Mus musculus: one gene and its partners. The protein of the gene in region 6 interacts with the protein of the main gene of each other region in a pairwise test. Links are inferred from orthologs where the notes say so. Each region holds a gene or a part of one and is shown on either strand. Other genes may lie near its edges.

Region 1 (3,557 bases), on a different chromosome or scaffold from region 6:
CCCAAAGCACCGTCCCAGGTCTCCTTTGACTTCACAGCAGTCTGTTAGATCCAGAGGTTTTACCCATAACCTCTTCCACTTTACATCCTGCCACCTTCTACTTGATCATATGTATCCTGTTTCCTTCTCATTTCCTCCTCAGGGCACCCACTGCTTTACCCAGAGAGCCTGAGGGCCTGCCTTCCTTGATGGAAGCCCCCCAAGACACTTTCCCATATCTGAGAAGCACTTTTTGACCTTTGCCTATGGACCTCTCCCCTTGCTTCATTTCTCTTGACTGAAGTTCCTACAGCTTGGCTCAGTATCTCTATCGGTCTGTTCCTTGTCCCCACAATCCTAGATTGAGACCGTAATGTAGCACCTGTACACGTGAGATGCTTAGGAGATTTCTGTAAAGTAAAAGCTGTAGAATCCCAGGTTAGACACACTCTATCAATAATGAGCTTCCTTTTTGCTTTGCAGTGGGAAGCCTAGAGCCCCGGATTGAGGTCCTGATTAACCGTATTAATGAGGTTCAGCAAGGTGAGCTCAGTGATTGGCTGCCATCCAGGACCAGCTACAAGTTTTAACTGGCCAGGCCCAATAAAAAGTGGAAATACAGGGGTCCTTGTTAAAGTCTCTGTAGTTATTTCATGAGAGCATAAGTGCAGGGCCCTTCTGCCTGTAACCGCCATAGTCATTTGCCTGTGAACACAGCCCTGCTGCCACCCGAGCCTAGCAAGAAGGGCCAGGATTTAGAAAGCCTTGTTTCCTGCTTTGTAAAATCTGGGCCCCCTCTAAGTTTTCTTTGGGGGGAGAGTGTGAAATCTCCTCATTTGTCCTTGAGGCTGTACTTACCAAATGTCTGTCCTCCTCTTTGGTAAAGCAAAAAAGAAAGCCAGTGAGGAGCTTGGAGAGGCCCAGACTGTCTGGGACAACCTGCAGAAGGAACTGGACTTACGTAAGTTAACTGAGAGTCACTAGAGGTTTCTATGATGTCTTAGACTTCTAATGCAGTCCTGCAAACACCCGGGCCATGACTTCTCCTCCAACCTCATTTCTTCTAGCAGTCCCATCTTCTAACAGGAGGGCTGTGGAAATGCCTTTGAGGCCTGTTCTGCCCTGAGTCCTTTGCAGAGATGATCCTCCATGTATTGCCCTAGATAATACAAGTTATTGCCTCACACCAGCAGCTGTATATTATTAGAAATGTCTTTCTTAGTCATCTTGCATTACCTGATCACATAGCCCTTTTGATTGGTGTTGTTTTTCCTGGTCCCAGTGGTTGTTGTACATGGACATGGATATCTTTTGTGAAAATTAGGGCACATTGTGTTTACAGGAATGTGGATACCCGTAGGGGTAGGAACTTACCTCAAGGAAACTGCATCTGGGTTAGGGTCACAGTTATACTTGCCTCTCGTATGACTGCCCTTGACGTTTCTGTGTTTGGTCTCTAATGCCTGAACCTTCATCATCTTTTCTAGTACGTGAAGAGAAAGTACGTCTGAAGGATATTTTGAACAGAAAGGAAGGTATTCCCATATTACCCATTTCTAGGCTTTGTGATACCCTATCTAAGCCCACTCTCTCTAGTAGCTAGAAACTTAAGAACTCCCAACCTTGTGACATTCCTATGGCTTTTACCAGACCCAGAAAATGTCAAAATCCAATCAAGTGTCCACAGACTTGATGTGATATGTTTTTTTCTATTTGCCAAATTAGATGCCTTAGCAAGCACTCAGAGGGCACTGTTGTTATCCTTACAGAGACCCTGAGGATTATGCAGCTGCACTGCCAGGAGAAGGAAAGTGAGGCACAGAGGTAAGATGCCATGCCTGCAGTGGTTTCCCTAAGTGTTCCTGTTACCTCCCACACCATCTGCTCTGCTAGACACAGGCTTGAATACAGAGGAACAGAATAGAAGCCCCCAGCCCTCCCTCCAGGAGAGTCATTCAAAGAACATGGCTGAGTGTTGGTTTCTTTCCCAGGAAGCACAGCATGTTGCAGGAGTGTAAAGAGAGAATTTCTTTCCTGAACTCCCAGATCGACAAAGAGAAGGCCAAACTAAGAAAACTGAGGTAAACCTCAAGGTGTGAGGCTTGGGCTGGGGACGTGATATAGGTATAGTAATGCCCGGGATGGCCAGCCATAGTCCTGGATGGTCAAGGGGTGAAGCTATTCCTTGTGTAAGAGTGGACACGAAGTCCTTGGGTGCTATATAGACTCAGACCTTGGCCTAGCTCTGTGGTAGTTCATGGCCATCATGGCTCTGTGGTTGCCTCCTAGGTTGGATTTTGAAGAACATCTGGAGACTTTGATGAGTCAACATAAGGACACCTTGGAATTTCATGTGAGTCATACAACACTATGCTACCTATTATACTTTGTCCCTGTGCAAGCATTGGTTGGTGGTCCTGCTGTCATCGTAAATCCAGTCCCTGGTGACCACTCTTGAGATACTTGGTGTCTTCAGTATTGGTCCTTACCATTCACTCATGTTGCTGTGTCCATTCAGTGTTCTCTATGTCAGTGAGGAGGCCAGGAGGAGAGAAGAGAGGAAGAAACGCTAATACCTAAGTCTTCAGAGTGTCTCAGGATTGTAGGATTGCAGATTTTAGGGTTTCGAATACTTGCCCTAGAACCTCATTACAGGGTTAAAGGTCCGAGGAGAGGGAATGACGAGATCCATAAACCATAGCTGGCACACACCAAGGGGCAGGGTCCTCGGAAGTGAAACTTACTGAGAGGAGAAATGATGAGATGTAGACAGGCTTCTCTGAAGCTCAGGGGAGCCAGGAGATCTGGACATATCTTCTTGTTTGTGCCCCCCCACCCCAGAAGCCTGAACATCTGACAAAGGAGATGTGTGTTTTGGACAGCAGCAAGGAGCAGCTGCTCAAGGAAGGTGAGGTCAGGGCCAGAAGGGTGGCTCTCAGCTGCACCAACCTGCCCTTACCTTCTTATTACTCTTTCTCTCTGTAGAGAAACTGATGAAAGTAAAGCTGGAGGATGTGAGACAGCGGCTGTGTGCCCTGGGCGGGCCTGAGGGTTCTTCCAGCCTCATTGAGGGACTCTTCCTCCGAAGCCATGAGGCAGCTGCAGCAATGTAAGATGCAGGGTGGGGCAGGAGGAGGAAATGTCTAGCACTGACTTCTTTCCACACTATCAGGCAGATGTTCAAGGATGAGAACAAGAAAGCTGAGGAGTTCCTAGAGGCTGCAGCTCAGCAGCACGAGCAGCTGCAGCAGAGGTGCCACCAGCTACAGCAGAAACGGCAGAGGTAGGCACGGAGCTCCTGTGTCCTCATTTCTCCCAGGAAGGTGAATGGCAGCTGTTTCCCCTGTTCTGCCGGTATGTCTCTTCATATTTTCTTGATTTTTCTGCTTTCATTCTCGTCCTTCACGCTTCCCGGACAGGCTGAAGGAAGAACTGGAAAAGCATGGGGTACAGATCCTTGCTCATAGTACGCAAAACGAAGAAGACAGCTCATGGAGGATGGTAAATCCGGGAACAGAAGGGAAAGGAAAAAAGTGGTATTCTCCAGAGTATAGTCTGTGGAAAGGGCATTCCTCTGA
Region 2 (3,994 bases), on a different chromosome or scaffold from region 6:
TACCTTGTTTTTGTTTCAAGACTGTGTAGCCCTGGGTGTTCGTGCACTCAGACATCCGCCTGCTTCTGCTTTCCTAAGTGCTGGGACTGAATGTATGTGCCACCTGTCCCCTAGGGGTCCACATTTAAATATGTGGAGCGGCTCATAGTTTTTACTTTCAACTTTAGATGTTCACATGTATTTGCTCTTGCAGAAGACCTGGGTTTTGTTGCCAGCACCCATACGGTGCCTCACAACCATTTGTAACTCCAGTTCTGGGGGATCCGAAGCCCTCTTCTGACTGTCTCAGGCACCAGACACACACACCGTGTACATAAACACATGCAGGCAAAACACTCACACACAGAAAATAAGTACATCTTAAAAAACAAAAAAGGGCTGATCGCCAGGCCGTGGTGGCGCCGCCTTTAATCCCAGCACTCGGGAGGCAGAGGCAGGCAGATTTCTGAGTTTGAGGCCAGCCTGGTCTACAGAGTGAGGTCCTGGACAGCCAGGGCTACACAGAGAAACACTGTTTCAAACAAACAAACAAAACAAAACAAACAAACAAAACAAAAAAATAGGGGTTGCTCAAAAAGAATGAAAGGAGACATTAAGGTAAAAAAGGGGAGAATGGAGATGGGGTTAGGGAAGAGCAGGTAGCTGACATGCACTGAAAAACAATTTAAATGAAAGAGAGGAAGCAAGAGCACCAGAGGATGCAGGGTTCAGTTCCCAGGACCAGCAGGGTGGCTGGCTGTAATTCCAGTCTCAAGGAACCTAGCGCCTTCTTCTGGCTTCCATAGGCACTGCATGCATGAGGAACAACACAGGCACTCATAAACATAACAATAAAAATCTCAAAAAAAAAAAAAATTAAGAGGGAGAAAAAAGCCAGGAAGGAAAATTAAGTCATTATTCATGAGTTGCTTCCGATGACATTAAAATGGAAGTTCTCTCAGTACCCACAGTAAGTATTATGAGTCCTTTCTAATCCCACAATCTGAAAGGGCCAGGAACCATTACAGGTCCAGCTAATTTAATGCTAAAAAGGCAAAGACAACAGTTTCCAGTTACCTAACCCTCTTGACATCATTTTAGTTACTATCCAAGAATCTGGGGCAACTAGGAAGCCCAAGTGCACAATACAGCCCAGGAGAAGGAAACCTCTGGGATTAGAGCCAAGTAGGCATGCTTGCTGCCTGCCAATGGATCTTTTTATTCATTCATTTACTTTTGAGACAGAATCTTTAGTCCAGGCCGGCTTCCATCCTTCTAAGTAGGTAGGCCACTGCTTGGGTTTATGTGGTACTGGGTAATGGTCAGGGCTTCATGTATGTTAGGCAAGCACTGAGCTACATCCCCAACTTTTTTAAAATTTTCTATTTAACAAACAGGGTAACCACCTTCCGATCCTCCCGCATCAGACTCCCATAGCACTTCCTTCCGCTTCTAAAAGGTGGGTCTTTAAATATTTCCAAAGGTCATTCGCAGGTACAAGGCCATCACTTTCTGGGGCCTTTCTAACAGGGGCGTCCCCTTACCTCGCTTGAACTCCTCCAGGACAGCGTCCAGTTTGGTATCGTTGAAGACAAAGTGGAGTGGATGGTTGTAGAAGCGGGTGATGGTGCTGAGCGGTGTGCAGTCCTCGGGCTCAACGATAGCCAAGTCTTTGAGGTAGAGCATGTCCACGATGTTGGAGCGCTCCTCCTCGTACACTGGGATGCGCGTGTGGCCGCTCTGCATGATGCTGGCGAGGACGCTGAAGTCTAGGACAGTGCCGGAGTCCAGCATAAAGCAGTCTTCGAGCGGCGTGAGCACGTCCTCCACGGTCCGGGAGCGCAGCACTCCCTTGCTGAGGTCGCTGTAGGGGTCGCCGCCGCCGCGCGCCAGCTCCAGCACGCGCTCCCGCAGACGCCCCGGCCGCGCTGCCAGCTCCAGCAGCTGCCCGACCGGCAGCGCCACGGGCAAGGTGAGCAGCACCGCCAGGCGGCTGAGGCCCAACGCGCGCGGCGCCAGCGCCAGCGCCCAGCGTCCGCTCACGGCGGCCGGCAGCACCTCACCCACCAGGAACACCAGCCCCGCGCAACCCAGCACGGCGGGCACGGCGCGCTGGCCCGCCGCCCCGTACAGCAGCACGGCCAGTGCCGCCTGCGCCAGGCTGGCCAGAAGCAGCAGCGCGCCCAGGGCGCAGCCGGCCCAGCGCCGCGCGGGTTCCAGGCGCCGCGCCGCCGCGCGCTCCGCCTCCGAGCCGCTCTCGCGCAGCACCTGCACCTCGGCCGGCGCCAGCGCCAGCGCGCTCAGCTGCAGGCCGCGCGCCACCGCCGCCAGGGCCAGCAGCCCGGCCGCCCCCAGCCCCAGCGCCCAGGGCGGCGCCGCCTCCTCCGCGGCCCCACCACCCGGCTCCACGCGCACCGCCAGCAGCGCGGAGCGCGGGTGGCCGGCCTCGGCGCGCAGGCGCAGCAGCGCGCGCCACTCGCCCGTCGGGGCGGCCGCCTCCTCGGGCTCCGTGGCCCGTCCGCCCTCCGGGCAGCCTGCGCCCTCGGCGGCTACCCAGGTCCAGGAGCTGTTGGCCAAGCCGGAGCAGAAGAGTCGCAAGCACAAAGTGGCCTCTGGCGCTGCCCTTCCGCGCAGGGAGCCCGCGCCCGGTGCGCTGTCCTCTTCCGTGCAGAAGTTCAGCAGTCCCGCGCCCGGCGCCGGCGCCGCCTCCCCTGCGGTGCTGCCCAGACAGAACGCGGCAAGCACCCAGCCCAACCAACCCACCACAGCCGCAGCAGCCGCCGCCATGGCCTGCTACCCCTTCTGGGCCTCGGGCGCAGCCTACCCCACTCACCCGCGCCTCTGTTGTTGCAGCCAATCGGCGCGGGCCTCCGCGTCACTTTGACCAATAAGCGGCTGGCGGGGGCGGGCTCTGGGGAGAACTAGGCTGCGCCGGGGAGTAAACAAGCGGCGCGGGGCGGGGCGAGCCGGAGGGGCGTGGGGCTCCGCAGGCAAGGGAGGACGCGGGGCGGCTGTCTGGGACGGCCTCGGAGTTCCCGGCGCGTGTGGACGAGCAAAGGAAGGTCATTAACCCTCTGGCCAGCAAGGCTAAGGGCTGAATAAGAACCAGGGACTGGGCACAGGGAAACCTGGAGTCGTTTGTTTAAAACATTTTCTTATCATTTGTATTTGTATGTGGGTTTGCGCTTGCGAGGGCAGTGCTTTGGGCAGACGCAAGAGGGCGTCGAATTCCCCCTGGAGCTGGAGTTCCAAGCTAATGGGAAGCTGTGCTGGGAACTGAACTCTGGTCCTCAGCACACATTCTTAACCTCACCCAGCTCTATTGGTTTGTTTTAAAGCTAAAGTCTCTTAGCTTTGCGTTGGGCTCTGTGGATATCAAGACAGACACCTGCTTTTGAGGAAGATGCCTTGATAGGAAGGTCCATAGTAAATACTCAAACCCAGAAAAATCTGTTTCCTTGAATCTTCACACTTGTTTCATGTAATTAAGCTTACAATAAAACGATGTTTAGAGACTGATTCTGTGTGCCTTTGGTTTCTGACATGCACCTGACATTCGGGTCATTCAGCCATGCAGGGAGATAGCAGCTGTCAGGAATTTCCATACATGCTAGCTTCACAACCACAGTTTATTCTGATTCCTCGGGTTGAGAAAGCTGTTTGAGAGGGTTCTTTTTGTCCTTATTTTGGAAGACACCTGCATGATCAGATGGAGCATTCTTCGTTCATTGTATGTGGTCTTTATGGGATTAGCTTCTCTATGGGTATCCCTGTTTTTTGCATTTTTCTCTCTACTTTCTCCCTAAATGTACTAAGACATGTACACATCTTATACATATGTTTTGTTTTGTTTTGTGTCTGTGTGGGCCCAAGTGTATGTATGTGTGTTGTGTATGCAGGTGCCGAAGGAGGCTAGAAGAGGGCACTACATCCCCTGGAACTAGAGTTGACATTTGTGAGCCACCATGTTGGTTCTGGGAACCAGGCCTTCTGCAAGAGTGGTAAGTGCTCTTAA
Region 3 (4,279 bases), on a different chromosome or scaffold from region 6:
TGTGTGAGAGAGAGAATGTGTGTGTGTGTGAGAGAGAGAGAATGTGTGTGTGAGAGAGAGAATGTGTATGTGTGTGTGTGTGTGTGTGCGAGAGAGAGAGAGAGAGAGAGAGAGAGAGAGAATGTGTGTGTGTGTGTGTACACCAGAGGTCAGTGACAGGCTTTTTGTCCCCTCAGTGACACAGATACAGACCAGATTAGACCAGATTAGAAGTAGATAAAGGCAGGTTTATTAGGAGGCTGCTCTCAGGTGGGCTCACTGATCTCACAGGTGTGAGAGATCCAGGCCAAAGCAAGGGGATCTTGTAGAGTTTAGGTTGGGAGTGCTGCCATGCTAGCTAGGAGCTGGGATTGTGTCCATGCATGGTCAAAAACTGAGCCCCCAAATGGGCACTCTTGGGCAGGCTGTCTGAAACTCAGAGACAAGGAGCGCTGACATGTTAGCTTGAGTATTCTCCAAGCAGACAGTGGAGATTTCTTTAGGTGGGTGGGGTTGGCAGGAGGGCAGATGTAGTTCCCCAGCTTGTGCAGGGGATAAGCAGGGGTTCCAGGCTAACATCCAATCTTAGCTGAATTCCCTAGCCACTGTCCACTTTATTTTTTGAGGTAGGGCTTTCAGCAAATTCCAGGAATCTGCCTGTTTCTTCTCTCTCCAGCACTGGGATTATAGACAAAAGCCAACACACTGGGTTTGTATTTGGGTGTTGGAAACCCAAACTCAGTTTATAACAAAAATCTTCAGTTAGCAGGGCACTCTGGAACATAAGTACAACTATACAAAGGACAGACCTTTCTGCCGTAGTAAGCCAAAGTATAAATCAATTTCCAAGTGAATTGTTCAAGCTGGCAGTTGTTACAATTACTACTAATTTATGTAAATTACTCTAGAAATGACACCCATTCTCTCCTTTGGTTCTTAATAACAACTGAATAAGGTGGAAAACGGAGACAATTATAGTCCTTTTATAGACAAAGAAACAGAAATCACGGCCTAAGATCACCCAGCACATAGAAGAAAACGGCTTCTGACCCGGGTCCAAGCTCTTGCCTTCCCTGGCATTTCACCTTCTGTAACCTATGACAGGCTGTGTTGAATGATTATCAGGTATAAACCAGTCCTAGGGTTCTGAACCTCATAGCTGGTTAGGCTCTGCTTCACTCTACATAACCTTGAAACATTTGCTACAGGCCAGGCCTGGGGCCCCATACGCTTAATCCCATTACTTGGAAGGTGGAGGCAGGAGGATCAGGAGTTTAAGGTCATCCTTAGCCACAAATAGCAAATTTGAGGCAATCCTGGACCAAAGGAGTCACTGTCTAAAATAAAACAAAAAAGCCGAGGATGTAGCTGTTGGTACACCACTTGCCTAGCAAGCACAAACCCTTCGGCCCACCCCAGCACTGCTAAGGAACAGGGTGTCGAGGGAGCGAGTGCCCGTCCTGGTGCTTTATCCCAGCAGAGTGCTGGTTTAAGTCCAAGGTTCCCGGCTTTTAAAGTGAATAAAAGCTGGGCGTTTTTATTACACACCTTTAAACTCAGGAAGCAGAGGTAGGCAGAGCTCTGTGTGTTTGAGGCCAGCCTGGACTACACAGAGTGAGTTCCAGAACAGCCAGGCTATGTCTCAGAAAACAAACAAAAATTTAAAAGGATGCTAAGATGTTTTAACTGTTAAGAGCACTTGCTGCTCTTGCAGGGGACCTGGGCTTGATTCCCAGCATCCATATGGTAGCTCACAACTCTCAGTAACTCCCAAGGCACACATTCATACACATAAATCTAAAAACAAACACACAAAATGAATAGAACAGATGAAGGAGAGGGGGTGGTTACATTCAAAATATACTGTATGAAATTTTTAAAGAATAAAAGCATTGCTGGAGAGATGGCTTAGTGGTTATAAGTACTGGTTGCTTTTCCAGAGGTAGAGATTATGTGTGTGTGTGTATAATCTCCTCCTCCATATATATCCTTCTGCTAGAAACATATAACACATCCAGGACATAATACTGAAAATGTTTTGTGAAAAGATCTCACTGCACCCATATCATCCCTTTAGGGAACTGGGATTTCGGCGGTTTGTTTATCTGGATGCTTCTCTACATCTGGAGCATCTGTCCACTGAACTTCAAACACGGTTTGCTAATGGACTGCTAAAATCCACTCCTAACAAAAACTGATAAAACACACTTGTCAGTACAACTTATCATCTGAAAGTTGATCTTTTATGAAAACTATGGGCACATCAGTTGTCTTCGGGGGGGGGGGGGGCAAAAATAAATGTAAAAATCAGAACTAAAAAATTATTTATTCCCAAGATATACTGGAGAATAAATAGGAAGTAGAGTTCTGTTCTTTGCATACTCTAGAAATAGCTATAAAAAAACCACTCTCCAATAAAGTTTTGCAGCAACCTTTAGTTGGGGCAGAGAGCAGGGAGGGTCTACAGAGGACACCGCATTTCCACCCGTCCTGCCCGAGACGATCGGACAGCCCTCAGACCCCTCCGGGCTCTCACATTACCGACGCCCGCATCTGCCACACTTTCTTCTGTTCCTCCTCCTCCATGGCCGCCGCCAACCCCGCTGCTACCAAGGACTCTAAGGAGTCTTCGCTTTCGTACTGGGCGACCCTTGCTCCGGTGATGGGATTTGCAGACAGGAGAAGGCTGGCTGCCGCCAGTCTGGCCTCCTGGTGCGGCGAAGCCATCGCCCCGCCTCCAAGCCCAAGCGCCCGCGCCCGCCCAGGGCGGCGTGCAGGCGCTGCCACCTAGCTCACAGATCCTGGCTTGGGGCGAGCGGTTACTAGGGGCTCGGTTACTAGGGACGCTACAGGAGGTGGCGACGGACCATAACGCACGCAACGTCCTTTTTCACTGTCACAAATGCGAACCCCGAGTCCAGCTAGTGTCTAATGATGGTTTCTGATACAAGCCTGCGGTTTCTAGAAGCATAACTGTCTGAAGCTACACAAACGACTACCACAGCAAGCTAAAGTAAAACGCAATCTTCAAGCTAATTGCTCAATGGGAGTCTCACCAGCGCCGGAACAATTACTGATTCACTTGAATGACACCCAGGTCTCCGGCAAGGGACTGAGCTTTTCTCTGGTTTCTAGCTTTATTTCTGTCTAACTACCTAAACGAGAACTTCTCGCGGTATACGGACTTAAAGCAGAAAGCGCGTTTTAACTAGCTGGATCAACATATTAGGGCACAGAGGGACAGGAAGGACCGGGTGTTGGGTGACCATCCCAAGAAAAGAACAGGCTTTGCAGCGCGCTATTCAACATGGCGGAGAACCCAGTTCATCTCTAATTGACAAGAACCAGCGGGTTGACCAATCAGAAGGAGAATACTTATTTGTCCCACCCTCTTTTTTCTCGACTGACCAGTAAGACACTAGACATAGGAAGTGTCTGTCACTCAGACCAGTGAGTGAGATGTGGTAGCTTGTCTAGCGGTTCTGCAGCTAGCTTAGCGGCAGATTAGAGGGGGCGAGAGCCTACAAGGACCACACCCTCCCAGCTCAGCCCTGCCAACCTCCTGATCGGCCTCAGGTTTTTGGCCACTTTGGATGCTTTTTCAGTGAACTCTCAGCCACCTGCAGCATAACACTTTACTTAGAACCCCAGCTAGCGCCCCTGTCCCCACCCTAAGGTTCCAGTACTTTCCACGTTATGCGGCACACCTTCCACAGAACCTGTTTCTGACGCAGTTGTTACCACCCCTTCCTTGTTCCCCTCTGCGAAGCACCTATCACCTTACCTTCCCTGCCTCCTGTTTCAAAACGGTTGAGCTTGCCTTTTCCAACGGAACTGATGATGGATACTGGTTGGTTCTGAAAAGCTAGATGTGGGGAGGGATCCATAGCCATCTGAATGAGAGAATAGTGACTTTCTGCCAGCCACATGCAACTAGTTCTGTGATGGGACTTGGTGTAAACAAGACCTATTGACAGACTGAAGCCCTGTAAGTGGGATGGTTTTAGGAACATGAAATAGTAAATAATGGATATGAAGGACATCAGTGTGTACATAGAATAGGAAAGTTTCGGCTGACAGTATTCTAAATTTGCAGATATCTATTAACACAGCTTTTAAAAAAAAGGTAGATCTGAAAGAAAATGGCACCATTAAAGTGCTTTTGCAGGCCAGCCAGTGGTGGCGTATGCCTTTAATCTTAGCACTTGGGAGGCAGAGGCCGAGGCCAGCGGATTTCTGACTTGGAGGTCTACAGAGTGAGTTCCAAGACAGCCAGGGCTGTCTTGAAAAACAACAAAAA
Region 4 (4,340 bases), on a different chromosome or scaffold from region 6:
TCTGCAGACCAGGCTGGCCTTGAACTCAGGACACATCTGCCTGCCTCTGCCAGTGCTTGGAGTAAAGCTGTCCACCACCGTGCCTGGCCATATCAACTCTAATACCAGGCTGACAAGAAGGCTCACAGAGTGAGGGTGCATGCTTGCTCCAACCTGAAGACCCAAGTTCAATCCCCAGGAAGAATGTAAAGGTGGAGAGAGCCTGAGTGCTGCTAGCGCTGTGTTCCGAGGGTGTACACAGTGAGACTAGAGGTGGGGTGGGGACAGCTGTTCTCCCAGGCGAAGGCAGATGTACAAGATGCCAACTAAAGCCCCAGCAGTAGGCCTGGGACCTGAGCCCATGCATTCCAGGTCAGTTCTGCCTAACTCATAATCCCAAGCTCTCAGCCTCACCTTGGTTCCGATATTCAAAGAGACGAGGATCAGCGAGGATGGGGATGAGCCCCAGGCGGTGAGCAAGGATCTCATCCTGGACTATGGACGTGTTGTTATACACCAAGACCTTCTCCACGGCCATTGTCGGCACCTGCCCAAGGAGGCAAAGCAGACAACTGACCTCCACCCATCCCCCTGCCTGGAAAAGGAAGAGGCAGCACTTTTTCATTTTGCCCTTCAGATTCTTTTTTTTTTTTTTGGTTTTTTGAGACAGGGTTTCTCTGTATAGCCCTGGCTGGCCTGGAACTCAGAGATCCACCTGCCTCTGCCTCCCGAGTGCTGGGGTGCTGGGACTAAAGGCGTGTGGCTCAGATTCTTGATACAATGTTTACTATGTAGCCCAGACTGTCATAGGTGTGAACCACCCTACCTGCCCCAGAGGGATGGCTTTGAGAAAAGCGTCTACAAATTGATACAATTTCTACCCTCCAGCCCACGTCCTCTAATACCTCAGCTAACAGGATTCTCCGGAAAGCATTGGCGATGGCAGCATCAATCCCCACCATGTCGAACTCCAGCGTGTCTTCATCCATTTGCACCACGTCCACACGGAAATTCTAGAAGGAGGGAAGCTCCTGCATGACTCCTGCCTGGCTCCTACCCTGCACTATCCCCTCACCCTAAAGTCATGGTGCTCAGTAGACATTTTGTCTCCAGTCCTGTTCTTGGGGGCAAGGCTGTGTGTTTCTTGTTTTTTAGGTTTTTCCAAGGCCAGGTTTCTCCATGTAGTCCTGGCTGTCCTGGAACTCTGTAGACCAGGCTGGCCTCAAACTCAAAAGATCCACCTACCTCTGCCTACCAAGTACTGGGATTAAAGGTGTGCGCCACTATGCCCAATCTTCCCAGATTTTCCACAAACCACCCAGAGAAGTTACTATACAAAAAGCAGAACTTCCCACACTACTTAGACCGTTTGATACTTGCATGTCTGTTGTCGTTATTTTTTAATACCTACTTTTCTCAACTACATTCCCTTGGATTTTGAACACCAATTTCCTTATCTGCTCTTCTTTCTAAATTTCCCCTTCCACCCACACAGTAAACGTTCCTGTCTCCTAGGTTCTAATCCCCTGGCTGACCTCCACCATGCTCCTGGCTCAAGCAAGCACATAGACTTCACAAGCAGGCACCTGAGTGTACCCTCATTCTTGTTCTCCTGCTTGGCAAACGACACAGCCAGCAACAGTTCCCCAGTGCCACTGGAGAAATGGCTCAGCTATTAAGAGCACTTAACTGCCCTTGCAGAAGAACTGGGTTTGGTTCCCAGCACCTGGTGGGACCTAACATTCTCCTCACACTGCAGGGATCACTAACACACAGTGGTGCACAAATACACATGCAGGCAAACACGCATATCAAGAAAGTTTTAGGGTCCTCAAGTTACAAAGTCCTTTCTCTCACACACTGCCTCCCCAGAGCACTGGTGCAAATCGTCTAGTTCTCCCTGCCTTACTCCGTTAGTACTGTCTGGAGTTCATCTATGCCCCCAATTTCAGCCTGCATACACTAGCTGGCAGATTCACCAGAATTCATTCCCTCCTGGCTATCAAGATTGCAAAATGTTATCAGTCTACTCAAAAATTCTAAATTGGGCGTGGTGGCTCATGCCTTTAATCCCAGTGCATGGGAGGCAGAGACAGAAGCAGGTAGATGGCTGAGTTCAAGTCCAGCCTGGACTATAGAGAGAGTGCCAGGGCTAAACAGAAACAGTTTCAAAGTGAATTTTAAAAAAATCATATATAATGAAGCTCCAATCAGGCCTTCACTACTCAACTTTTATTCATAGTTCAAAGCTTAATTCAAATGCCATTCCCTTCACTGACCTTTAACTACGTCCCTTCAGTTAGCTGGATTCAGTGCATCAATGATTCCTGACCATATCCCAGCCATCTTCACCGCTATCTTACTATTCTGGAATAACTTGTCTGTGTGGTCCATTATCCCACCGAGAGCAACCACCGTGTCTGACCCGTCCATGGAGCTCAAGCGTGTTGTATGGAAACAGCGACCCCCACCCCAACCTGCGAGGTCTGGCCCCTCGGGCCGACTGGGCACCTTCAGCTCTACCCACCTTCTCGAAGCGGTTCTGGTCCCAGGCATCATCATAACCGGCGTAGTTACCGGGAAAGTCCGTGGTGTGGACCTAGAGCCAACAGAAAGGGCAGTGTGGCCAGCCTTCACACCAGGCCTCTACTTCCCCGTGCCGCCCTCATCCTTCCCGCGCCCCGATCTCTTACATTGCGAACCCCAAACTCTCCGAGAACCACGCGAGTCCGCATCTCCTCCACCGCCTGAGCCGCCGCCATCTTCCGCCACTCGCTGTAAAAGGAGGCGAGTCCGCGCCTGCGTCTCCGCAGCAACGCTCGGGCTCCCGCAATCTTGAATGTCGCGAGATCTTGCCCCGCCTCTGTCCACGTCCTTCACTTCCGGACGTCAAGTGGGGCCAAACATCCGGGTTTCTCCCTTCGGCGTCCCGGCGGATCCCCACCTTGCCCGGGCGGTCGCCCCTCTGAACCTCTCCCTCCCTCGGACCCGGGTCGCACGCTCTTCCCACGCGCGCGTGCTCCAGCGACGGGAAGCCTCGAGGGACATGGCGACTCCGGCGGCGCCGGCCAGCGGCGTCCGAAATGGTGCTGGCCCGGAATGGGGAGGCTTCGAAGAAAACATCCAGGTATGGAGCGCGCCTGCTGCCAGCAGCCCCGGGCTGGCGGCGTCCGGACGGTGGCTGCTGTTCTCTCTCGCGGGGCCTAGAGGTCGGCTCCGCTGAAACGCAGCCTGTCCCCTTTGAGTCTTCCCGGGGAAGGGTGTAGCTCTTGTGCTGGCGTGAAAGGGACAAACTAGGGCTCCCGCGGGCCTCGGCTCTCTGTGGGGGCTGGAGGCTAGGATCCACTGGCACCCCCTAAAAATAGGCTTGTTTGAGAATTGGGAATGGCAGATGGGCTCTTTTGCAACTCTTTGGAGCTTTGAGGTGGAAAGTAGGAAAACAACGTGGATTGAAAATAAATAGTAGGGTTTCCAGGACCACAAAAGTGACGCGACCAAGAGTTGCCACCACTGAAAGAGTGGCAGTTCCAAGCCATGTCCTCGGCAGTGGAAGATCAAAGCCTCAAGTTGTCAGCTGAGCGGAGAACGGGGAGGATGCAATGGAAGGGCCCCTCACTCTCCGAGCCGTTGTCTTCACAGGGTGGGGGTTCGGCTGTGATTGATATGGAGAACATGGACGATACCTCAGGCTCCAGCTTCGAGGACATGGGTGAGCTGCACCAGCGCCTGCGGGAGGAAGAAGTAGATGCTGATGCAGCTGCTGCAGAAGAAGAGGATGGGGAGTTTCTTGGCATGAAAGGCTTTAAAGGACAACTGAGCCGGCAGGTAGCAGATCAGGTAAGCCAATGGGGAAAAAAAAAAGGACCTATGCATGTCCTAAATTGATCGAGGTTTTCCACTTAGACCCACACGTAAATCTCGCCGAGACTGAATAACAATCTAGAGCCAAGAGTCTCATCATACCCATTTCCCTTCAGATGTGGCAGGCAGGGAAGAGACAGGCTTCCAGGGCCTTCAGCTTGTATGCCAACATTGACATCCTCAGACCCTACTTTGATGTGGAGCCTGCCCAGGTCCGAAGCAGGTGAGGCGCCTTCTCTGAGACATCTGTCCTCACATCTAGACCCTCATCCAGACTTCACTCAGACTCAGAGCCCTGAGCTCTGGTGGACTCCCCTACTTGCAACCCCATTACTGAACTGAACATGTTGTGAATACTTGGTGAAAGGTACAGTTGGCTAGGTACCCCTCAAGTGCGCTAACCCCTCTTCCCTCCTACCCCGCTTCCCTCCACACCACCATCCTTTAAATGGCAGGCACTCACTTTGTTCTCGTCCCTCCCTCACCTGGACTCCTAGACA
Region 5 (3,557 bases), on a different chromosome or scaffold from region 6:
CCAAAAGGCAACCAATCCAGGAGAGCCGCATCAGCCCAGAAGCCTGCAGGTCAACCCGGCTCCAGACTCTGCTACATTTCAAATAAAGAGGCCTTAGGTGGGTCGTGACCTTGGAACTATCAACATTCTGGCTCAGTCTTCTTGGCTGGGGCTCTCCTGTGCATGGAGGATGGTCAATGGTGTCTTTGGTGTCTACATACTAAGTATCAGTGGTACCCAGCACCCACTATGACGACCCAAACTGTCTCTAGATGTTGCTGGTGTCCCACTTGAGCATCAGTGGTCTTTAGTACTCTCATGAGAGAGTCTACTAGCTTTTTGTCAGGCCCAGCAGTGATGGGCTCGGGGTGGGAGGCCTTCTGCAGGAAAAGGGACAGCCTAGGAGACAACGCCACACCTGTCCCAGGTGTTCTCGAGGCTCTGACCTCCTGGAGGCTCAAAGCAAGCCTTTGTCACTTCTCCACACCCTCCTGCTTGCCCGGCACCCTGTGCCCAGCCCCCTTCCACCTGGTGCCCTAACTCTCGGAGCTGATTACTGGGCTCCCAGTCAAGATTCTGTCCTGGCATTGTCCTTCTGAGCCATGTGTTCCTGGGGCAACCACGTGCTGCTTTCTTGGTGACTCCCTGGAACCTGCAGAGGGGGCACGACCCACCCTGACCCGCACAACACTGTAGAGTCAGCGGGTATCCTCAGGGTTGCCTCTTCTGAGTTTAAAAGGAGCCATTTCTCTCTTGACCTGGGTGACATTCCACCCAGAAGGAAGGATTCTATGAAGATCCAAGGTAGTCTATATTCTGGGATGGGGAGGTAACCCAGGACACACATAACCCCACAGCTAGGTGTTGTGAGGTCACTTCCTGTCTTGCTAGGCAGCTCCTGGGGCGCAGCCTGGTCTGCACTAACACCATCTGAGCCAGGATGCAGTAGAGACCAGAAGCATGGCTGTGGGGCAGCAGAGAGCAGGGCAATGCACTCCTGGAGTAGTAACCTTGCTCAGAGCACTGAGCTCAACCTGGCTATGGGCCGTCTGAGCACCTCAGGAAGAGACGCTGGCTGGACGGACTTCGCTCTACCAACATCAAGGCCCCTGGGAGCAGTCTCCATGAGCAGACCTTAAGATCGCCTGACCCTTGTTTAGGTGTGCCTGCGCTGGCTCTTATTTCCTAAACAGAGCCTGACTTCAGAGTGGGACAGGGCCACTGGGGACACAGCACAGTCCAATATACATGATGAAGGGAGGGGCCTGGTGGTCAGACAGACCCGCCACACTCCACTTAAGCACCTGTTTAAGAACTTCGCCACGTTTGCATCCGTCTCTCCCATCTGGACAAGAGGCACCACACTGTGAAGAGAAAACGCACAGTCAGGTTACAGAGCAAGGCTCCACACATAGGAGCCTGGGACATGTATTGCCACCACTTGACTTCACTATTCAACCGAGTCCTGGCAAGCACAAACCAGACACAGCGTACCCACCACTGCCTCAGCCAGCCCCTTAGCTTGGGGACACGCAACGTGGCCTGGCCAGTGAAGGGGGACGCACAGCAGGCAAGGTGAGGGTAGGCTGCCCAGTCTGCTGGCCTTTGTGCCACCAAAGCCTGGCCCGGGCTCCTTTGTGGGCAGGGCTCGAAGAAGGGCTTTCGTCTAGCCCTTAATCCCCAAGGAGCTACTTGTTCTAAGTTGTAATTCTAATTACCCGAGGTCCCGCACCTGACTGCGCACATACAATTTGTCCCATCCCACCTCCTGATCCCAGCTGATCCTCCCCTGAGCTAGCCTGGGGGTGTGTGTTGGGTTTGGCCATCGGCCCAGGAAGGCTTGCGTCTCTAGTCCTGCTCGCCCCACACCTCCCACTTGGCTTCTTCACCTAGATGTCCTCCTGCCTGGAGAGCTTTCTGGCATGTCACTATGCAGCCGGGGCCTGTCAGCTGCACTGAAGGTGCGACACCAGCTCAGACTCGTGCTCTGATGGTATAAGCCCGGTTGATGCGGGTGACTTTATGCAAATGGCCATTTTCTCTGGAGGCCCAAGCATTTTGGTTTTGGTTTGATTTGTTTTGTTGTTTGTCACCCAGGAAATGCTGGGAAATGTCCAGGTTCAGCAGTCTTCTGTGAAGGGAAAAGGCTTGCGATCTGAGTCTGCGGACCCCCAGAATCTCACTGGCCTGCTCCTGACCCCTGCAGACTGGAGGTGCTGTGAGGAACCCCTGAGATGTGGACAGAGTTTCTCTGGTGTCCCCCAACCGCTGGGCTCCCTGTAGTCCTTTCTGCTGGTTTCTAGCAGGGTCCTTTCATGGTGTTCTCCTCAGCCCCACATCCTAGGGAGCCTATGGCTCTCAGAGCAGAAAAAAGCTCTGCTTGGCCTCTGAGCAGTGTGAGTCACTCATTACAGTGCCCTCCAGGACAGTACTCAGGACACGTACAATGAAGAGGCGGTGGCTCAGATACGACAAGGGTTCTGCATTGTCCTCTGGGGCCCTTACCGTCTCTCGGCACGACGGCATACAGCGCGGCAGAAGTGCAGGGCAGAGCTGCTCTTGCCTCCAGACTGAAAGAGAGAGTGGGTGTTGGCCACTGTTGCTCTATGCTGGAATACCTCTGAGCGGCCGGGGTGCAGGGGGTGACTCTGTTGCTACAGTTGGGTCTACTGGCAAGCCCGTGTTTCCATCAAAGCAACTACCCCGCCACACCAAGTTGAGCACCCCAATACCTACAGGCAGAATGAAGGCCTTGAGCGGGGGGAGCTGGCTGGAGTACTTGTCAATCCACCGCTCCAGCTCCAGGACAGGCCCTTCCTGGAAGGCCGTGTGCTCTAAGGAGTCAAGGGCAGAGAGGCCCTACTGTAAGCATGCCACCAGACCACTGGGAAACACCCCTTCCTTCTGTGTGGGAGCCCTGCTTCCACCAGCCTCCAGGATAACATCTCTCCCAAGGCAGAGAGCAAGGATGTCTGCCCTACCAGAGAGCTCTAGGGCCCAGGGCTCCCAGTGGGCAACTCTCAGGGCCACCCTCACCCCAAGGCCCCACTAACTCCCTGTGCAGGCTGGGAATTACTTAAGTGAGCCTCCCTGGCTGAGGAACGTGGAGTGGCCAGGGCGGAGCCGACGTCCTGTAGCATGCACTGGATCTGGAGCAAGGGTGAGGAGAAAGACCGTTTGTGGACCGTGTCGGGGCCGTTGGACCATGAATCCAACTGCCCTAACTCTAAACACGACGAAACCTCCTGGAGTTTAATTCACTGGACCAAACATACCAGTGCCGCCTAAATGGTGAAGGATAGCCCATGGGACGGTGGTCAGCGGGACAGGAGGACTCAGGGAGGACACCTGTCCATTCCTGGGACCCACGTAGGCCCCAACCAGACTACAGTGAAGCTTGGGTGACCTCGGCCTCCCACTGCATCCTAGAGTGACTCTGCTAGCAGATGCCCCTCAGAACTCAATGGCAGCGCTAACAGGTAGAGGTCCACCTTGCTGAGACTCGAAGGCAGCAGGGCTCCTGAGCACACAGCTCTTCAGCCTGAGCCCTGGGTTGTCCTCTGCAACCCAAGAGGCTG
Region 6 (4,355 bases):
GTGCGCATGCTCCCAGAAAGTCCAAGCTGGTTGACCAAGCTTTTAAAGCACCTGCTTTGCCAACACTATTGAGGGTTGACTGGAAGGGAATGTTCAGCCAGCTGAGGTACTTTTAATGCACATGAAACTGAAGGGCACCGGGGTCCTAGACGGAGAAACCACAGTGCTAACTTCACAGCTGAGTTCCACTGTCAATTAAAAAATAAACAAATAACTCACCTCTCTAGTGGTATGCTTAAATACAATGTTTGTTTTAATAAATGCTAACAGATGAAAAGATAATCCACAAGGTAAATGTGATTGGTTTTGATAGGATTTTAATGCCAATAGCAAAGAGACTAAAAAATGTCAGATGAAGTCAACTCATCGTTTGATAGAAGCTAAAATCTTGCCCTTGCACTATTCCCGTTGGCATTGACAAAAGGGAAGGAGGAAAAAGGCAAGGGGAAATAGAGTGGGCACCAGGAAGTATTATCAGAGGTCATTGTGACCAAGATGTAGATCTTTCATTGATGACCTAGCAATAATGATGACTTAATGAAACTCACAGATTGCTCACAGGGGAGAGAGTCTCTATAGAGGAGGAGCTGGGAGAGGAGTTGGGAGATCAGTTTCTCAGACAGGAAATAACACTGTCATTTGCAAGTCGGTGTGCTAGAGGAAAATAGATGTGAAAACACTCGTGTTCAGTGTGAGGAGGGAAAAAGTGGGGAATCAATAAGATCCGAGAAAACCTAAGGGTGACAACTAGTGAATCATAACGTTTACGGTGTAATTGAGAATGCCAGCCACCCACCAGGGCTGGAAGCTGGGAGCCAGAGGTACTGTTATAATTCTCTTCCAAATAGAATGAGCTCAACTCAGAACGAAGCCTCATGGGGCGCAAAGCTTGAGGGTTAGCAATCCAGGGGAGGGAAGGGGAGACACTATCTTCTAGAAGCAAGAGAACAATTAGAGCTAAGACATCACCTGACCCCAGTAAACAGGATGATAGGCTGGGCACTGACCTGGATTAAATTGAAGTTCTGTCCTCACTATAGAACCTCCCAATTCCCACAGCTGTGAAATCTCTGCCTTACACTTGTGTGGCCCTGTGGCCACCACATGATGCCAAGAGCACTCCATCAATATCCTCCCTCACCTTGTTGCTCATAGGAGTCCTCCCCCCTCACCCCCCCCAACTATCTTGTTTGGGAAGGTAGAGTGAGCAGAGAGGTCTTCCTCACAGGCCTGGGAGGTAAGTCAGGTTACATCATCTAGTTATCCATGACTACTTCCTAACCCAGGAGGACCAGTCGAGAGTATCCTGGCAGGTTGCCTGGCTTGTGTCCCCATTGCAGGTGGGCCTGTAACCATCCTGGTGGTCATGAATATATTCCAAAAATGATACTTATGTCTTTCCTTCTATCTATCAGATTATTGAAACAATAGATCCCAAGATATTTCTCCAATAGTCTTATGTTTGGAGAAGGTAAAGGCTGAAGGCCAATGCCATCAAGAGCGAGGGGAAGATTGTCTCTCAGAAAAGGATTTCACACAGCCCTTATAACTTGTCAGACCATGCTGCAGGAGAGCCTGCGGCTGAGATAGTGATGCTGGGCTGGACCACACCCCAACCAAGGCTACTTTGTGATGAGTACCTCTGGCCCTCTATTGAAACCCAAACTTCATGTCCAAGACGGACCTGGGGAACGAATCATTAGACCTCTTTGTTCCTCCTTCAAGTGTTGCAGCACTGAGTAAATCTCTTCCTGCTTTTCAACATCAGTCGACTGCTTAGTTGGACCTATTGAAGACTGTTGACTACACCTGGCTGGCATCCTCAAGGCCACATCTGGTCATGAGAAACAAATCTCCAGTCAGCAGTGACCCCTTCATCCCACATCTTTTACCATCCAAAATCCAAGAAGCTGCACCAGGTCCTAAAGCCCAGGAAGTGGGGCTGGAGGTCAGAGGGACCAGAACCAACCCAAGTCTCCTCAAATCACCTTTCTCCTCCACTGCTAAGCTGATTCTGAGAGCTGGGGATGGAAATCTGTGCCAAGGGTAGATGGATGGAGCTTTCTAATCTTTCCACCCTATGACAATAATGAGAACTTTGTGTCAGCTTCATTGGATTAAGAAACACCTAGGGCATTAACAACACATACCCTCGTATAGATCTGTGTGGACTTTATCAAAAGGGGGTGGGAGTGGGGCAGATCCTGGACTGAATAAAACAAGTTGATCTGCCATGATGTGAGGCACTGGCCCCACCATAGATTCCCATTCATCATAGACTCATCCCCTGAACCAAGGGCCAAAATAATCATTCCTTCTCTTAACTTACTTCTTGCCGGGTATGTGGCCACACAGGGAGATTACAACTACTTTCAGATCCTATTCCCAACCTCTTCCCCACTCCCACATCTAGGCTATCATCTCCCATCTGCCCCTAATATCTGGGCTGGTAAAGAACCAGAAGAACCATACCCATTCTCACACACAGTTTTACATATTAAGAATCAGACCTAGCAAGGTCCTTTGTTCTTCCAGAAGATGGTCAGAACATAGTTCCCTAGTATTCTGGCTCAGCTTTCCTGAGCTAAAGGAGACAGGAAAGTGGCTGCTCACTGTGTGCTGTAAGGAAAACATGTATCCAGGCTGTTTTCCTTGCCTGACTATGTTTGCTGAGCTTGTTACAGTTACACTCATACAGAACTCCAATGAGAGAACCACCCTCTTTTGTACACACCTCCCTGGATAAAATTTTAGATAAGTTACCTGTGCCTTGGGTCCCTCCATCCTACATTTCACCCCCTCTGGCTGCATGACCCTGGTCTTCCAGTGAGCTCTTTGGGGGGGGGGGGCTCTGGAGAAAGCAAGGCCACCCCTTTGTGACATAGCAGCAGAAGAAACAGTCAAATCAACAAAGGCATCCCACCAAAGAAATTGTTGCATGCAAGCTGCAAGGGGTTTAACCACTCACTGGTCTCTAAAAGAACAACTGAATGTCCATCCCTTAGTACCTATCTTCAGTCCATAGCAGGGCTTAATTCCTTAGGCAGCTGTAAATGGGACACGTGCTGGGGTGTCAGCTCTTCAAGATTTCAATTCTAGTTCAAGCTCAACTCTAGATCTCCACAGATATCCAGAGTAGTTATACACCAGCACATAATGAAGGGTCTCCTTTGATAAAGTTAGAGTTTTTCTTACAGTATCATCAAACCTTGAAAGCCTAGCACTGAAGGGGGGGTGGATTGATCATCTAACCCAGCCTACCTCATTGAAAGCCAGAGGCTCCTAAGGTCCAGAGAGACCATGTATCCTTCCTCCACACAACCAGGGAAAACCCAACGTGACAAGAACTGGATCAGCTGACTTCCTTGTTCACTCTATAAGGTCTGGAAACAGGGTTATTGTAGCTAGAACTGGTAAGTTACATCCTTCTGTGACTGTCCCTACCTGAGGTAGAATCACATTGACTGGAATTTCTAGGCTCTCAGATCTGGTATCTCTCTTTCTTGTAAAATTTGGCCTCGAGTGCTGTGAAAAAGAAAAAAAAATAGATTTCTCCTTCTCCACCCAGCCTCGGAGCCTCAGTGGCTCACCTAAAATACATAACTACTACACTTATGCCTCCTTACAAATTAATTATATACCTTATAATAATCTCCATGTAAAGGTGTGTGTGAATGGTACCTGACCAGAAAGAAATCTTACTGATCACCGAAACAGAAGTCAATAGAGGAATTAACTAACATAAAAACCCCACTTAAAGTCTCTGAAACAGAGAGGGCTGCAGGTCTTCCTGGCTTTAAACTATTATTTCTATGTCAAGAAAGTAGCCATACCAATGTGAGATGCCAGGTATAGGTCTTATGCAAAAGCTGGTCACCAAAACACTCAGAACATTCCAGAGGTGACATCACAGAACAATATGGTGGTTTTCAGAGCTCATGGTTTTTCTCTAAGCAGCTCAGGTGAGAAGCAGTCTTCTGTAAGCAGGAAGGATTGGTTGCTGCTGGCTGTGCCCACGTGGCTAGCCAGAGTCAGTGTGACACACAATGGCCCCAACAGTCACACTTATTTGGTCACCCCCTGGCTGCTGCTCACGCCTCACTGCCAGGCTGGTTTGAACCCCGACCCTGACCCCCACCCCTACCCCTACCCCTCCCACCCCAGCCTCCCTCCAGAGCTGTCATCTACTTCAACTGCATTACTTGGGAAGGGAGAAACAGTAACTTTTCAGACCTGGGGAGGGTTTGGCTGCTACTGTGGGGCTCTTCAGTTCAGTTCCACTCTGACACTAGCTACATGGCATTACTGTGCAGGTCCCAGAAGTTAGGGGTTCAGCCCTGTAGTATGGCTTTCAC
Region 7 (4,312 bases), on a different chromosome or scaffold from region 6:
CCAGTTTTGTTGGTGTATGCTTTTAATCCCAGCATTCAAGAGGCAGAGGAAGGGGCAGGTGGATTTAAGAGTTTCTAGACATTCAGAGATACATAGAGACCCTGGCTCAAAACAAACAAAACTAAAAACCTAAAGAAAATACAATTTAATTATTTATTTATTCGTTCATTTTGTGGGGTTGGGGCATGTGCCAAGGTTAGAGAACAACTTGTGGGCATAGGTTCTCTCCTTCCACCCTGTAGGTTCTGGGGATCAAACTCAGGTTACCAAGCTTGGCCACAGGCCAATCTAGCTGGCCCCACTTTTCATTTTGATTTCCCCTCTTTTTGTTTTGTGCCAAGACCTGGCTGTATCTTAGGGTGGGCCAGAGCTCACTCTATAGCTAGGCTGGTCTTGAACTTGTGATTTTCCTGCCTCATGAAGACCCTGGAGTGCTAGGATTCTAGGTTGTGCTACAGCATGGTTCCAATTTTCATGAAGTGAGATGATCTTGGGCAACTACTGAAAAATGCCAACACAGTCATTCCTGTTGACTCCAGTTGTCATTCCAGCACTTTCTGAGCACCTCCACTGTCATTCCAATCCACACTCAAGGTGCATACTGCCTCCAACATACATAGATGTGGAAAAAGTAACCAGCACTTGGGAGGCTGAGAGTTAGAGCCATCTAGGGCTACATGAGACTGCTCAAAGACTAAACCAAAACACACTTCGGTCAATTTTTTTTTTTTTTTCTTTTTCCAAGACAGGGTTTCTGTGTAGCCCTGGCTGTCCTGTAACTCACTCTGTAGACCAGGCTGGCTTCGAACTCAGAAATCCACCTGCTTCTGCCTCCTGAGTGCTGGGATTAAAGGCGTACGCCACCACCGCCCGGCTACTCTGGTCAATCGTAAAGGAATGTAAACCCAAACAGGGTATTGCAGAGCCTGCATGTGCCTCAGTGTCCTGGCTTGAACGGTGGGTGCGTTGTCAGGGTGCCATGAGGTTTCTAACTCTACTCTATTTGCTCCCGATTCTACACTAACCTTTGTCTTTCTCTTTATGCCCATAGAACTTCCCCGATGAGACTCTGAAGTGCCCAAACTGGGAGTCATTGGTGGACTGCACCCAGCGGTTCCTCCAGCGCTCTGTGGGGAGACAGGAGGGTTAGTGGTGCAAAGCGCACGGGTCCATATCATAGATGGTGGACACAGGCCACCAGCCACCACGGCAATCGCCTTCACCTCCGTCTAGAAACTCCTCCTGGAAGTACACAGTGGCTAGTGCCACGCGCAGCACACAGATGGCCCAGAGCAATGCACGAGCCGAGACCATAGCTGCACGTGCGACTTCAACTCTCTGCTCTCAGGCGTCCGTACCGCTTGACGGGCGCAACTCAGAAACTACAACTCCCGGCATGCCTTGGGATTATGACCTGGGGACGCTAATGGGTGCGCTGAAATTACTGGTCCCGTGACGCCCGGGATTGTGACCTGAGTTGCTCATTGGTGGGTGGAGCGCGGTGGCCGACGGGAAATGTAGTCTCTAGTTGCTCTGGCGCTGTCTCCTGAGGCAACCGCACACTGGGGCCTATACTTTGAGGCTGAAGCCTAGCGGGAAGAAGCCAACGCAGCTACTCAGGTGACCTCACAGTGATCAAGTGGGTTGGCAAGGGGCTTCAGGAAAACGGGCGGCATACCCACACCAGAGGTTCCTCATCTGGAGAGCGATGGGGCATGATCCCTTAGGGCTTGCAAACAATAGCGAGGAAACTGAGTATAGGCAGTGTTATTAGCATGGAGAAGAACTCCAGGTGCTGTGTGATATGGGTCCTCTCAGTTGTGTATCCTGGTTACAGGTTCCAGAGCAGGTACAGATATAGGTACGAATCTGGACGCCTGTCCTCAAATCTCTCTGAGATTCTTTGGTTTTTTTTTTTTTTTTTTTTTTTTAGATTTATTTATTTATTATATGTAAGTACACTGTAGCTGTCTTTCAGACACTCCAGAAGAGGGCATCAGATTTCGTTATGGATGGTTGTGAGCCACCATGTGGTTGCTGGGATTTGAACTCGGGACCTTCAGAAGAGCAGTCGGCGCTCTTAACCACTGAGCCATCTCACCAGCCCCGATTCTTTGGTTTTGAGCTCACTCAACCTTACCAGTTCTTATGCCTGTCCCACACGCCCTACAGCTTATTAAAAGAAATACTTTTATCTGGGTGGTGGTGGCATACACCTTTGATCACAGCACTTGGGAGGCAGGCCTGATCTAAGGAGCTCCCAGGAAAACCAGAGCTATACAGGGAAACCTTATCTTGAAAAAAATAAAAACAAAACAAAAAGTATACTTATACAGTGAAGTACTTTTAAAGGCTGAAAACACAATCTTTATTTTCCTAGAATGGCTTCCACAAGAAGACCCTTTGGCCCTCCACGTAGTGGTTTTGACTTAAGGGATATGTTCTTAGATAGCTCGAGGATGGAAGAGATCAGAAACTTACAAGCCCGAAGTCTTGGCCAAGTGACACCTGGGCAGAGCAGAATCTTAAAGAGAAACCAAACGATGGACGAGAAATATTTGATGCCCAAAGAGGAGGCCATGGCAGGGAGGGGGGTGAGTCTGGGCTTGAGGCCTCCCACCATCTCCTCCAAGACCAGAGCCAGTGAGGCCCTTAGGAAACTGGCCCAGATTGAAACCAAGATCCTGAATCGGAAGCAGGTGCCCATGGCTTGGTCTGATGTGGAGTCTGACTCCACATCCATCGAGCAGAGTCTTCCTAAGAGGACAGGTGCAGCTTCTGTTTCTTCCCAGTACCCACACAGAACTTTCCAGAAACAAGTGAACAAAACATGTGTGTCAAAGAGCGATGGGCCGAGTGGTAACGGTAGCAGGTTTCTGAAGAAGAAGGAGCTGCCCACTGAAGCGAGGTCCCCAGGGCTGGCAGTGGGGACAGGGAAGCAAGCTCTGCTGCCCACAAAGAAAGAATCTGCCAGTGACGAGGAGGAGGAAATGCTACTGCTTAGAAGCTTGATGGAATCTTCTAGAGAAAAAGAAGCAAATAGAAACCAGGAGCTCCCTGGCTCCAGTGTCAGCAGGAGCAACCTTGGAAAGGTGTTCTTGGTAACGTATTCTTTTGTTGGTTTCAAATTTTACTTTTTTTGGGGGGGTGGGGGGCAGGTTCTGGTAACAGAGCCTAGGGCTTGCTTTGTACCAAACAGCTCCTTAGCTAGTGAGCTATACCTCAGACCCCCCCCCCCCGTACATATGTCTCTGTGTGTATACCCCACATATGCACACCTGCCTGCAAATATAGAAGAGGGCATCGATCCCCTGGAGCTAGAGTTAGAGGGGTTGTGAGACACCTGGTAATGGGTGCTGGGAACTAAAGTCAGGTCCCTTTCGGGAAAGAGCAGCAAATGCTTTGTCTTGTTAGTTTAATTTGAGGTCTCAATTGAAGGACTGCTCACATTAGAGGAACTGTCTTGATTGTTTATTGATTGTGAACTGGTGATGCCTTGTGGGCTTGGGTTGTGTGAGAAGCTGACTTGAGTGCGAGCCTGTGGGAACAAGCTGCTGTTGTGTGACACCATTGCCAGGGAGATGTGAAGAGATATCTCCTTGCCTCACATAGGGAACCAGTGACAAACGAAAGCACAACAAGCTAAGAACAAATTGGAGAACCAATCAGTTTATTGGGATTACTTACAGGAGTAAAAATGGCTAACGCCGGGCGTGGTGGCGCACGCCTTTAATCCCAGCACTCGGGAGGCAGAGGCAGGAGGATTTCTGAGTTCGAGGCCAGCCTGGTCTACAAAGTGAGTTCCAGGACAGCCAGAGCTAGACAGAGAAACCCTGTCTCGAAAAACCAAAAAAAAAAAAAAAAAAAAAAAAAAAAAAAAAAAAAAAAAAAAAAAAAAAAAAATGGCTGAAAGACACTGATGGTCGGAGCCTACCCAGCACTGGTGACAGCTTGTGGTCATAAATACAAATTCAGGGCAGCACTTTGGCCATTTGGCCCTATCATTTACCAGAGCCACAGCTCTCCTTTTCTCCTAGCTTGTTGTATGTAGTTTTAGTAACACGAATGCTCTTTCTCAAGAGGTCAGTCCGAGCTCCCTCAACCTCTTGCAGATCGCTCCACCAAGCCACCAAAGGCTCCCCCAGCTGTGCCTGTTTTCTGCCCACCTTAGTTGCCATGGATGGAAAACACCAGACAGCCTTAATATTTTAAAACTAGCCAGATAATGGCTGGGTGAAGAATATCCTGCCCCATCCTCCCTGGCCTTCACTCACCGCGGAGGCTACAGACTATAGGTACTATGAGACGTACA

The links.
Region 1: the proteins of Cby2 (region 6) and Syce1 interact in binary tests that used the Homo sapiens proteins (3 or more experiments, as listed by UniProt). The two-hybrid records come from large-scale screens. The link is inferred for Mus musculus from reciprocal best matches to the Homo sapiens genes CBY2 and SYCE1.
Region 2: the proteins of Cby2 (region 6) and Cnnm3 interact in binary tests that used the Homo sapiens proteins (3 or more experiments, as listed by UniProt). The two-hybrid records come from large-scale screens. The link is inferred for Mus musculus from reciprocal best matches to the Homo sapiens genes CBY2 and CNNM3.
Region 3: the proteins of Cby2 (region 6) and Fam161a interact in binary tests that used the Homo sapiens proteins (3 or more experiments, as listed by UniProt). The two-hybrid records come from large-scale screens. The link is inferred for Mus musculus from reciprocal best matches to the Homo sapiens genes CBY2 and FAM161A.
Region 4: the proteins of Cby2 (region 6) and Polr1c interact in binary tests that used the Homo sapiens proteins (3 or more experiments, as listed by UniProt). The two-hybrid records come from large-scale screens. The link is inferred for Mus musculus from reciprocal best matches to the Homo sapiens genes CBY2 and POLR1C.
Region 5: the proteins of Cby2 (region 6) and Mmab interact in binary tests that used the Homo sapiens proteins (3 or more experiments, as listed by UniProt). The two-hybrid records come from large-scale screens. The link is inferred for Mus musculus from reciprocal best matches to the Homo sapiens genes CBY2 and MMAB.
Region 7: the proteins of Cby2 (region 6) and 1700030K09Rik interact in binary tests that used the Homo sapiens proteins (3 or more experiments, as listed by UniProt). The two-hybrid records come from large-scale screens. The link is inferred for Mus musculus from reciprocal best matches to the Homo sapiens genes CBY2 and C19orf44.

What each region holds. Positions count from the first base shown.
Region 1 is NC_000073.6:140,777,840-140,781,396, reverse strand, and holds part of Syce1 (synaptonemal complex central element protein 1), read left to right. Parts: intron 1-462; coding exon 463-522; intron 523-865; coding exon 866-940; intron 941-1,466; coding exon 1,467-1,514; intron 1,515-1,748; coding exon 1,749-1,803; intron 1,804-1,970; coding exon 1,971-2,060; intron 2,061-2,268; coding exon 2,269-2,332; intron 2,333-2,820; coding exon 2,821-2,887; intron 2,888-2,964; coding exon 2,965-3,088; intron 3,089-3,151; coding exon 3,152-3,262; intron 3,263-3,398; coding exon 3,399-3,480; intron 3,481-3,557. UniProt on the Homo sapiens protein: Major component of the transverse central element of synaptonemal complexes (SCS), formed between homologous chromosomes during meiotic prophase. Requires SYCP1 in order to be incorporated into the central element.
Region 2 is NC_000067.6:36,510,683-36,514,676, reverse strand, and holds the start of Cnnm3 (metal transporter CNNM3 isoform 1 precursor), read right to left. Parts: upstream 2,811-3,994; 5' UTR 2,767-2,810; coding exon 1,524-2,766; intron 1-1,523. UniProt on the Homo sapiens protein: Probable metal transporter.
Region 3 is NC_000077.6:23,006,868-23,011,146, reverse strand, and holds the start of Fam161a (protein FAM161A), read right to left. Parts: upstream 2,801-4,279; 5' UTR 2,707-2,800; coding exon of another isoform or gene 2,521-2,706; exon of another isoform or gene 2,516-2,520; intron 1-2,515. UniProt on the Homo sapiens protein: Involved in ciliogenesis.
Region 4 is NC_000083.6:46,245,223-46,249,562, forward strand, and holds the start of Polr1c (DNA-directed RNA polymerases I and III subunit RPAC1), read right to left. Parts: upstream 2,824-4,340; 5' UTR 2,742-2,823; coding exon 2,673-2,741; intron 2,579-2,672; coding exon 2,507-2,578; intron 993-2,506; coding exon 885-992; intron 527-884; coding exon 394-526; intron 1-393. Other genes in the region: protein YIPF3, read left to right, coding at 3,026-3,106, 3,619-3,816, 3,957-4,063. UniProt on the Homo sapiens protein: DNA-dependent RNA polymerase catalyzes the transcription of DNA into RNA using the four ribonucleoside triphosphates as substrates.
Region 5 is NC_000071.6:114,433,995-114,437,551, forward strand, and holds part of Mmab (corrinoid adenosyltransferase isoform 1 precursor), read right to left. Parts: intron 3,129-3,557; coding exon 3,056-3,128; intron 2,814-3,055; coding exon 2,716-2,813; intron 2,550-2,715; coding exon 2,485-2,549; intron 1,344-2,484; coding exon 1,284-1,343; intron 1-1,283. UniProt on the Homo sapiens protein: Converts cob(I)alamin to adenosylcobalamin (adenosylcob(III)alamin), a coenzyme for methylmalonyl-CoA mutase, therefore participates in the final step of the vitamin B12 conversion.
Region 6 is NC_000080.6:75,589,152-75,593,506, forward strand, and holds the start of Cby2 (protein chibby homolog 2), read right to left. Parts: upstream 2,835-4,355; 5' UTR 2,812-2,834; coding exon 2,764-2,811; intron 2,079-2,763; exon of another isoform or gene 1,989-2,078; intron 1,835-1,988; exon of another isoform or gene 1,641-1,834; intron 1-1,640.
Region 7 is NC_000074.6:72,442,370-72,446,681, forward strand, and holds the start of 1700030K09Rik (uncharacterized protein C19orf44 homolog), read left to right. Parts: upstream 1-1,510; 5' UTR 1,511-1,620; intron 1,621-1,633; exon of another isoform or gene 1,634-1,775; coding exon of another isoform or gene 1,776-1,861; intron 1,862-2,380; coding exon of another isoform or gene 2,381-2,381; coding exon 2,382-3,101; intron 3,102-4,312. Other genes in the region: Calr3 (calreticulin-3 isoform 1 precursor), read right to left, coding at 1,026-1,127, 1,224-1,314.